Mus musculus: one gene and its partners. The protein of the gene in region 3 interacts with the protein of the main gene of each other region in a pairwise test. Links are inferred from orthologs where the notes say so. Each region holds a gene or a part of one and is shown on either strand. Other genes may lie near its edges.

The links.
Region 1: the proteins of Sf3a3 (region 3) and Trim69 interact in binary tests that used the Homo sapiens proteins (3 or more experiments, as listed by UniProt). The two-hybrid records come from large-scale screens. The link is inferred for Mus musculus from reciprocal best matches to the Homo sapiens genes SF3A3 and TRIM69.
Region 2: the proteins of Sf3a3 (region 3) and Zfp212 interact in binary tests that used the Homo sapiens proteins (3 or more experiments, as listed by UniProt). The two-hybrid records come from large-scale screens. The link is inferred for Mus musculus from reciprocal best matches to the Homo sapiens genes SF3A3 and ZNF212.

What each region holds. Positions count from the first base shown.
Region 1 is NC_000068.7:122,174,088-122,177,740, reverse strand, and holds part of Trim69 (E3 ubiquitin-protein ligase TRIM69), read right to left. Parts: intron 3,502-3,653; coding exon 3,479-3,501; intron 3,392-3,478; coding exon 3,267-3,391; intron 1-3,266.
Region 2 is NC_000072.6:47,926,948-47,930,600, reverse strand, and holds part of Zfp212 (zinc finger protein 212), read right to left. Parts: intron 3,582-3,653; coding exon 3,455-3,581; intron 1,552-3,454; coding exon 1,471-1,551; intron 1-1,470.
Region 3 is NC_000070.6:124,714,005-124,717,723, forward strand, and holds the start of Sf3a3 (splicing factor 3A subunit 3), read left to right. Parts: upstream 1-856; 5' UTR 857-890; coding exon 891-986; intron 987-1,264; coding exon 1,265-1,312; intron 1,313-1,647; coding exon 1,648-1,700; intron 1,701-1,805; coding exon 1,806-1,911; intron 1,912-2,446; coding exon 2,447-2,519; intron 2,520-3,719. UniProt on the Homo sapiens protein: Component of the 17S U2 SnRNP complex of the spliceosome, a large ribonucleoprotein complex that removes introns from transcribed pre-mRNAs.

The DNA.
Region 1 (3,653 bases), on a different chromosome or scaffold from region 3:
AAGGCAGGTGGATATCTGAGTTTGAGACCAGCCTGGTCCTACAGAGCAAGTTCCAGGAGAGCACTGCCTCAAAAATCCAAATAAATGAATAAGTAAATAAATAAATGAGATAAAATCAGGCTTGTACTTTGTTTTTGTTTTTGTGTTTTGTTTTGTTTTGATTTGTTTTAGTTTTTCAAGACAGGGTTTCTCTGTGTAGCCCTGGCTGTCCTGGAACTCACTTTGTAGACCAGGTTGGCCTTGAACTCAGAAATCTGCCTGCCTCTGCCTCCCAAGTTCTGGGATTAAAGGTGTGTACCACCACTGCCTGGCCTCAGGCTTGTACTTTGTAAAAAATCTTTAATTTCACAATTGTAAGTAATTAATTTATATTGTAGTCTATAATAATAGAATTCCATGACAGATGAAGTTTTTTTTTATTAAAATATGTAGAAGCTAACATAGTTTGCCTCATATAAATAGACTCATGATCACTGGAGTCTGGGAAGGTTAGAAGGATAATGGATAGCAGGTACAAAAGGACAAGGAGATAGATGTTAATTTCAGAATTTTATAGCACAATATGGTAATCATAACCTGCAATAATTTATTATATAGATGTACATATATGTTTTAGTGGCTTGATTTGGTTTTGTTGGCAGTGCTAGAGACTGGACCCAGGGCTTTGTACATATTAGGCCAGCACTCACTTCCTGAGCTATAGACACAGACTTTATTATATATTTTTAAACAACTGAAAGGTCTCCAAAAAAAGTTTCCAACACAGAGAAGTGTAAATGTTTGAGGAGATAGAAATTCTGTTTACCATAGTTTAATTTTTATATGTTGCATATGTGCATTGGATATTATATTGTATCCTATAAATATATATACAAATACCATGTGTCAACTAAAATTTAGTTGAAGCAGTAGTACACACCTGTAACTCTGAAGGTTGAAGCAGAAAATCCTAAGTTCAAGGCCAGCCTGAGCAATATAGCAAGATCCTGGTTTTGCTGTTGTCGCTGCTGTTTAGGGTTTTAAGTCAGGTATATGACTATAATCCTAACGCTTGGGAGGTGGAAACATCAGGATCAGGGGCTCAAGATCACCCTTGGCCACATAAGAACTCTTGGCCAAGCCGGGCAGTGGTGGCGCACTAGGGAGGCAGAGGCAGACAGATTTCTAAATTCTTGGCCAGCCTGATCTACAGAGTGAGCTTCAGGATGGCTAGGGCTACACAGAGAAACCCTGTCTCAAAAACAAACAAACAAACAAACAAACAAACAAACAAATAAACAAACAAACCAACACCAAAAAAAAAAAAAGAACTCTTGGTCAGCCTGAGCTAATGAGAAACTTGTGGCTGGATGGAAAGACAGCGCAGCGCTTAAGAGCACATAGTCCTTCTCTTGCAGAGGAGCTCTGATCCGGCATCCACATCAGACAACATACAACTGCCAGGGGAACCAATACCTTTTCCTGGCCTCTGTTAAAAGCCACACTCAGGAAAACAAATTCATACACAGACACACTGTTTTGTCTTGTTTTGTTTTGTTTCTTTAAATCCCTTTTAACAAGCATGGCTAATAAAGGATTTGTTTGTTTATAATTTATGTTAAGACAATCAACAAAAGTGTGGTCAAAAGATTAAATATATTTCACCAACTAGGAATGGCAGAGAAGCACATGGAGAGGTTTTCAGTGGGATTGAACATTAGAAATGTATACATTTAAAAAATGAAATGTTACTATATTTAAGCTTAAATAGTTATAATTAGAAAGATTGACAATATCAGGTTTTTTAAGAATGTAGAAAAATGGTTTCATCATTCATTGCAGGAGGAAATATAAAACAATTTCTCCATTTGAGGAAGAAAAAGAATTGACAATTTCTTATAAAATTAAATGCACATCTTCAACCCCACTACTAAGTCTTCACCTCAAAGATCTGTAAACAGATCCACACAACTTTATTTATTATAGCCTGAAGTGTAATCTCCCCAAATGTCCATCAGCTGGAGAATAGGTAAACACATTGTGATGTATCCATTAAACAAAATTACTGCCATGTGCAACAAAGGTGAATCAAGGGAAGCACTGTGCTTTGTACAAAAGTCTAGATACAAAATACTGGCATGTGTGATCTGCATTAAATTAAAAATTCAAAAAGACACATCAAACCTGAAATAAAGCAGATTAGCAAGGAGTAAGGGCTGGAGCTATACAGAAAGAACTAATTGCAAAGAGACTTGTGGAAATGTTCAAGCGCCTGTGTGTGTGTGTGTGTGTGTGTGTGTGTGTGTGTGTGTGTGTGTGTGTGTGTTGGTGTGTGTGTGTCTTTGTCTGTGTGTTGTCTGTGTCTGTGTGTGTATAGGTATGCCCAGAGATGTGCATGTGGCTATCAGAGGTCTCCTATAAGTATCTTCCTCATCACTCTCCATCTTATTTTTTGAGGCAGGTTTCTTACTGAATCTGGAATTCACTCAGCCCAACTGTCTGGCCTGCAGATCTTATAAGAACTACATTTTTCCCCAACCTCATCCCCAGTGCTGGGGCTACAGTTGTATGCCGCCATGCCTGGCTTTTTACGTAGGCACTAAGGATCCAAACTCAGATCCTTGGGTTTGTTCAATGCTAAGCCAACTCTCCAGCCCTCATCTATCTCTGTCTTGATCACAGAGATATTTACATGTTTGTCAAAACTCATCAGTTTGTGCACTGCATATATTTAGGTAAAAGTGGCAGATTCTGCTATATTAATTATACTTCAGTGAAGTCAGTTTCTTTCAGTGTTAGTCATCTGGAAAATGTATCAGGGATATATTTATGATTTTAACTAGGTTAATAAGAAACAATAATATTAGATATATGACTTCTATAAAAGCTATCTAAATTCTTATTTTTATATATATCTTATCTAGAATATTATTTCTTTTTCTTGAAATAATACCACTTGTGTTAATCTTGTCCTGTTCAGTCCTCTGATATCTGCAAGAATTCATACAGCTGATGTAGCAAAACAAGATAAAATTGTGGCTAGTTCCACACATTATAGATCAAACAAAATCAGGCTGAGGAGTAATTCTAATATCAGACTTTTATGTATTATTAGTTCAAAGACACATATTCTTAAATCATAGTAGCAGGAGAAGAAGAAAAAGATCTTTTTGACTAAACTCCACCCAAGTCCATCTCCATCCTCTCTCAAACTACAGAACTAACTCTGGCCACAGATGAAATATAGATTAGGGGCCATAGGACTCAATAGCTCCTTCCCACTATACCTGGAGAGAGAATAGCCTGCATTTCCTTCCAGATGATATACTGGATAGGACCTTTGAAGCGGCCTAGGCTCAGCTTTTTGGCGATGAGCTGTCTAGGTACAATTGTCTTCATTCCTTTCTCCATGCTGTAAGGGACACACAAACAGTTTAGTTTTAGACATTCTCCAGGGGTAGAAGAAGGAGGGTAGAGAGAACCATGAAGAAACACTTGCCTCTCTATGAGCTTTGTGATGTCCTAGAAGAGAAAAGAAGAAATAGAGAAGTCAGATGCCTGTTCATCATCTCTAGGAACTTCTCTGGTTATACTGAAAGCCATCCAGGTTTGATCATCAATACTGGCTTCCTGTACAGATGGTCCTCAGGCCATCGCCAACAACATTTCATCCT
Region 2 (3,653 bases), on a different chromosome or scaffold from region 3:
TGAGAACCATCTGGAAGAGATCTGAGTAGCTTACTCATAGAGAACAACTTTGTTATAATTTCTCCATCCCTGTCTACAAACTGGTACTTAATCTCTGTGGAAAAAAATTACAAAATACACTAACAACTGATTAATTCAAAATTGGTAAAGTAACAAATTTGAACCTGAGCCTGGTGATTCAGGCCTATAATCTCAGCTACTCAGAGGATCACAAGTTACTAGATTGCTTAGGCTACAAAGAGAGTTTAAGACCACTGTGGGCAACTCAGACCCTATCTGAAAAATTTAAAAAGGTTTTTAAAAAAGAGGCTGCGAATGAAGCCCAGCTGCAGATGCAGACCTAGCGAAAGGCCCTGCATTCAACTCACTAAACATACAATTTAAAAATCACATCCAAGGCTGGAGAGATGACTCAGCAGTTAGAGTCCCAGCTGTTCTTGCACAGGACCAGGTTCAATTCCCAGCACCTACATGGTGGCTCACAACCATCAGTAACTCCAGTTTCAAGGGGCCTGATAACCTCTTTGCTGTAAGCATGTAGCCTACATACAGGTAAAGCACTCATACACAGATAATACAATACAATGATCACATAGCCAGTTTTCTTCCTGGATATTCCGCTCAAATGCCTTTCCTAGTGTCTCTCTCTCTGTGACTCACTACTCATTCTCCATCTCTCACTCTGACCACAGCCTATTATGCCTACTACTTATAGTGCATGCCAAAGCATGCTACACAATCTACACCACTACAAAGGCTAGCAGACCTATAACAGTTAAAAAGCAGTGGTTCTCAACCTTCCTAGTGCTGTGACCCTTTTATAGTTCCTCATGTTGTGGTGACCCCCAACCATAAATTAATATCATTGCTACTTCATAACTGTAATTTTGGTACTGTTCAGAATCATAATGTATATCCGTGTTTTCCAGTGGTCTTAGGTGACCGCTGTGAAAGAGTTGTTCGATCCCCAGAGGGGTCACAACCCACAGGTGAGAACTGCTGTTAGAGTCACCTAAAAAGGTTGTGGTAGTTCTTAACTGTAATCCCTCCCAGGATGAAGAATTGGGAGCATCATGAGTTCAAAGTCAGCCTGAGCTGCAAAGAATCTAGGCTATTGTGGACTACATCGTAAGACTTGCCTCGAAAACAAGCAGAGGCAGGAGAGATGGCCACTAAACAAGAGCACTTGTTTCCAACACCCACACCAGGTGGCTCACGGTCACCTGCAATTCCAGCTCTAGAGAATCCAATGCCCTCCTCTGCCCTCTGTGGATAACCACCCCCCACCAACACAGTCACATAGTCATCCCTGCATACATATAAAAATAAACCTTTAAAAACCAAACAAAAGTCCACAACCTGCACGTGCCAGTTCAGCCGTGTGAAAGCTCCCTATTAGTTATGGGAACCTACAGAGTTCCCATACAGGGATGGAGAAACAATGCAGAAGAACATTCTAGAACTACTCACCCAGGTGGGTACCTTCTTCCACCAAGTCACCCACCATCTCTGCACCCAACTCCACTTCTTCCTCTGGCTGGCCAAGGACCTCTGGGTTAGAAAAAATACAGTATAAATCCAGGAGAAGAAAAACTTACTGCATGCTGATCAGATGCCAATGTACAAATGATATTAACAGCAAATCAATATTAACAGCTAAGAGGACATAAGAGCTGATGTTACTGTCACTTTTCCCTAGACATTTCTGGCCAGTGGACTGTCAGGCTGCTGCTCTTTGATCCTTCATTAAGGTAACTAGGCTTAGGTGCCATTGTCTCCCTAACACCCCCACCTCTGTCCAGACAGCTGAAGTTCCGCCAAGGATTCCTTCCACAGTGCCTAATTCCAGCCTTGTGGAGGCACCGTGGCACAGGAAAACAGCCTCAAAGAGAGCATGTAACCCATCTGGGGTAACAGTCACCCCACTTCCCTTGCCCTCACTGTGGTCTAGCCAGGGGCCTCCTTGGTATTTCTCCAAGGACCCACATTTGAAAAGAATTTGTCTTAGAAGAAAAATATGCATGCATTATCGAGTATGTATTAGTAATTTTTATACTAAACACTTCCACACAGTGCTTCCAGTCTACCAACAATGTGCAGATCACAGTGGCTGGTGATGACTCTGGCTTACTGCCAAGAAAAAGGTTTTTTCTGCTTTTGCTTTTTTGGTTTTTTTTTAAGAGTTTATTTTATGTATTTGTGTACACTGTAGCTGTCTTCAGACACACCAGATGAGGGCATTGGATCTCATTACTGATGATTGTTAGCCACCATGTGGTTGCTGGGAATTGAACTCAGAAACTCTGGAAGAGCAGTCAGTGCTCTTAACCACTGAGCCATCTCTCCAGCCACCCCCCCCCTTTAAAGATTTATTTATTTATTATATGTAAGTACACTGTAGCTGTCTTCAGACACCCCAGAAGAGGACATTGGATCCCATTACAGATAGTTGTGAGCCACCATGTGGTTGCTGGAATTTGAACTCAAGACCTTTGAAAGAGCAGTCAGTGCTCTTAACAGCTGAGCCTTCTCTCCAGCTCAAGAAAAAGGTTTTTTTTCAGCCTGTGCTGCATGTCTCATCTCAAGATACAAGATTCCTTTAAATTTTTATTTTATTATTAAATATTATTATTTATTATTAGATAATATGTATATGCTATCTAAGAGTCTGGATACATCTGCAACACAGTGCACATGTGGTGGCACAGGGCAACTTAAGGAGTCAGTTGTCCCCTCCCATCACGGGTTCCAGGGATCGAATGACAGTTATCAGGCTTGCATGGAAAGCACTTCTATCCATTTAATGGTTCCTAAGTTAAAAGATTTCTCATCAAATAATCTTAAATATTAAAGATAGCATATACACATCGTGTTTTGAATGAGAATGGCCCCCTAGGCTCGTTTGTTTGAAAACTTGGTCTTCAGTTGGTAGAACTGTTTGGAAACAGGAGGTGTGGCCTTGTTAGAGGAGGCGTCTCAATGGGGGCAGGATTTAAGATTTCTAAAGTCTCGATTAAGTTAGTCTTCTCTGCATCCTGCTAGAGGTTCAAGATATGAGCTCTCAGGGTTGTTCCAGCCACTGCCACCCCTGATATCTCTGCTTGGCCATCAAGGACTCTAACCCTCTGAAACCATAAACCCCAAATACATTTCTCTTCTCTAAGCTGCCTCGGTCATAGTTTCTTACACAGTGATAGGAAACTAATTAATAAAATACTTTATAGAGATGTTATTAAAAACCTATATTATAGTTTATCAATGATATTCAAATAGTCTCAAGAAGCCATTTTGTTACCAGAGAAGAAATATAAAAGGCTCATCCCCGAGACACTTTCAAGTCTCTTCAGGTGAGAGGACCTGAAGGGTATCATTCCTTAGCTCAGCAGAAGATTCAGAGGATGACATGCAGTCAGGAGAGCTCTGAGAGAATTTTAGGGAGAAAACTTTCACTCACTCAGAGACACCAGCGTCTCATAGTTGCTTTCCATAACATTTCTGTAGAGCTCCTTCTGCCAGTCCTCCAGGTTCTCCCACTCCTGCTCCGAGAAACAGACTCCATCATTCTCAAGGGACCCAGATACCTGCAATTGTAAGCCACAAGAAATGAGCACTCTGACTCCTGAGTACCACCCAGTGATTGAACATCTTCATTA
Region 3 (3,719 bases):
TGGCTCATACCTGTAATTCCAGCAAGTGGTAGGCGAAAAGCAGAAAAATAAAGAATTACATGGAATTGGGGCTGGTGAGATGGCTCAGTGGGTAAGAGCACCCGACTGCTCTTCTGAAGGTCGGAAGTTCAAATCCCAGCAACCACATGGTGGCTCACAACCACCCGTAATGAGATCCGATGCCCTCTTCTGGTGTGTCTGAAGACAGCTACAGTGTACTTTACATATAATAAATAAATAAATCTTTTAAAAAAAAAAGAATTACAGAGAATCAGAAGTTAACCTGTGCTGAACAGCAAGCATATCATTGCTTGAGTGTACCACGTTTTTCTTAAAGACTCCTCTGCCAATAAACAAAGGTTGTGTTCAAATATGTATGAGTTTTATTAAGAACAAACCCACCACCATCTCCACTTTACTGACAAACACACTAAAGTCCAGACAAGGGGAAAACATCACCAGAGGTCACACACTGAAAACTACTGCTGCTTCCAGTTCCCCTTTCCGTTCTGTATCCTTCAACTTATCCGTTCCTGCTAGTGTGTCCCTGCCGGCCCAGCTTTCTGCAGCAAGCCCCGGGCAAGCCAGCTGTCTCTCAACCTCAGCCTACAGGATTCTTGCAGGCTTCTTAGAGACAGCCAGCTTTCAACGCGGAGGCAGCGCTCCTTCAGACCCCCAGCCAGCAGGGGGAAGCGTAGCCACGGTCGCGGATAGCACCCGCTTGCTCTCTTCGTGGTGTTCCTTTTTTCTTGAGTCCCCCAAGACACTTCCGGGACACGCGGAACTTTGGTGCAGCCGGATGCTGCGCGCTGAGACGCTGGCTGAAAGGCGGCAGGCGGTGTTTCCGGCAGTGTTAGTGGTCCGCCTTGAAACGCCGTGGCCAAGGGAAAATGGAGACAATTTTAGAGCAGCAACGGCGCTATCATGAGGAGAAGGAACGGCTTATGGATGTTATGGCCAAAGAGATGCTTACGAAGAAGTCCACGGTGAGTGAGCCGTGGTCCGGGCCGCATCAGGAGGCGGGCCTGGGTCCTTTGCCGAGCCCTCGCGCTGTATTTGGCCTCGGAGCTTCTCTGCGCCCCATCCTCACCCTCCTCCTAAGCTGGCTCGGCACTCTGGCCTCGTTAACGTCCTCCGAGGGCCCCTCAATCTTCCTGCTTCAGCCCCTGGGACCTAAACCAATAAGCGCATCACCCCTCGGGTGCTCTTTCCAACTGCTAAACTCAAAGTAACAACGTATGTGTTACCGTTTGCCTTTCTGCAGCTTCGGGACCAGATCAATTCCGATCACCGCACTCGGGCCATGCAAGATGTGAGTGCGCCGCCGTCCGCTTCCCCTGGGGTCGGGCTGGGCGGGAAAAGTGCAGGCTGGGAAGGTTGAGTGGCCCTGCGTGATTTCTACCCCTGAGTTCTTAGACAAGCCCCTCTAGGGTACCTAATCAGATGTCCTATCTCTGCCTCCCAAGTGCTGGGATTAAAAGTGTATGCAACCACCTCGGGATCAAGCTGTCTCTTAAAAGTGGTGGAACTTTGAAGACCATGTATCTCATGAGTTTTCCTTGGGTTTTGCCAAGACATCCTTTCTTGTTTACTTAGCCCTGTGGTACAAATTTGCTTCATTCTGATGGCTTTGCGCTTCTGTTTCAGAGGTACATGGAGGTCAGTGGGAACCTGAGGGATTTGTATGATGATAAGGACGGGTAAGTGACGGTCACATCCCTTCTAACAATTAGTGCTTTTGAGGAGCCCTGGTGAGACCATGGGCTGTGTGCTTTATGCTCTTCGGGTTTGTTGATATCTTGCAGACTGCGGAAGGAGGAGCTCAATGCTATCTCAGGACCCAACGAGTTCGCTGAATTCTATAACAGACTCAAGCAGATAAAGGAATTCCATCGGAAGCACCCAAATGAGGTAAGGCCTCCCAACTTAGTGTCCTTAGACCTGGCCGTTAACAAAAGGGAAAGATGCAAAGGAAATGGAGCTATGCCATGTAGATGTCACTCCAAGAAAGAACGTGCCACTTCACTGCATGTTAAGTGACATCCTCTTGGCATCCCTCTGCAGTAAGAGAACACGGTGAAGCACTAGGGCTGCTTCACAAGAATGTCTCCTACTCAATATACTGTGCACCTAGCTCTGCCCTGAAATCTACCAACACAGTGGTGCTCTGTTCACTTGCAGAGGTCGTTACCCCTTCAGGATTCATGTCCAATGCCAGCTTTTTCGTAAAATATCTCTTGGACTGCCTCCTCCAAAGGAGCCCTTCCTTAGCATGCTGTGTTTTGTGCCAATCAATGTCTGCCCGGCTATGCAGCAAGGGAAGTGGAGAACACTAAGTAGGCAGCTCTGTACACTCAAGGTCAAAGCCAAAGCAAGTCTTAGAAGCCCAGGCCTGTGTGTGCCTGAGACATCGCCAGGCCCACCTGAACTCTTCTCCTTCCCTCAGATCTGTGTGCCAATGTCAGTGGAATTTGAGGAGCTGCTGAAGGCTCGAGAGAATCCAAGTGAAGAGGCACAAAGTAAGTAATGGTTACTGTTTCTTCCTGGGGCTTCAGGCCATTCTCAGCTATAGAGCTAGGACCTATGGCTTGGTTTTTTTTGTTTTGTTTTGTTTTTCAATCTGTTTTTATTTTGTCTGTGTGGGTAATTTGCCTGCATATATGTTTGTATACCGTGTGTGTGTGTGTGTGTGTGTGTGTGTGTGTGTGTGTGTGATGGCCTCAGGAAGCCAGGAGAGGGAATTGGATCCACTCCGACTGGAGTTACAAATGGTTTTGAGCTACCGTGTAGGGACTGGGACTCAAACTCAGGTGCTGTGCAAGAGCAGCCAGTATTTCTAAATGCTGAGCCACTTCTCTAGGTCCTAGAACGTCGTGTCTCTAAAAACAAATAAATAAAGGCTGATTGTGGTGGAGTATACATTTAATCTCAGCTCTCAGTAGTTCTCTGAGTTAAATAAATGCCAGACCTTTTATTTTTTTAATTGTATGGTGAGTTAACATCTTTTTTTTTTTTTTTAATTTGTTTATTTGTATCTGCATTGGTGTTTTGCCTACATGTATCTGTGTTTGAGGATGTCAGATCTCTGAGTGGAGTTACAGACAGTTGTGAACTGCCATGTGGGTGCTAAGAATTGATCCCAGGTCCTAATGAAGGCCACTCATTGCTCCTAACCATTGAGCTATCTCTCCAGCCCCATTTTTTTGTTTTGTTGTTTGTTTTGATGTGACAAGGTGTCTCTGTATAGCCCTGGAACTCACTCTATAGATCAGGTTGGCCTCGAATTCAGAGATGGCCTGCCTCTGCCTCTCTAGTGCAAGAATTAAAGGCGTTAAAAGTGTGTACCACTGCCCAGTTTGCTTTCTCTCTTCTTTTCTTTTCTTTTCTTTTCTTTTCTTTTTTTTTTCTTTCCTTTTCCTTTCCTTTTCCTCTCCTCTTCTCTTCTCTTCTCTTCTTTTCTTTTGTTCTTTCGTTCTTTCTTTCTTTCTTTCTAAAAGATGGGATCTCAGGGCTGGAGAGTTGGCTCAGTGGTTAAGAGCACTGACTGCTCTTCCAGAGGTCCTGAGTTCAATTCCCAGCAACCACATGGTGGCTACAGTATGCTCATATAAAGATAAGTAAATCTTTTTTTAAAAAGAAAGAAAGAAAAAAAGGGATCTCTCCATGTAGTACTGGCTATCTTGAAACCTGTTTGGACCAGGCTGGCCTCAGACTCACAG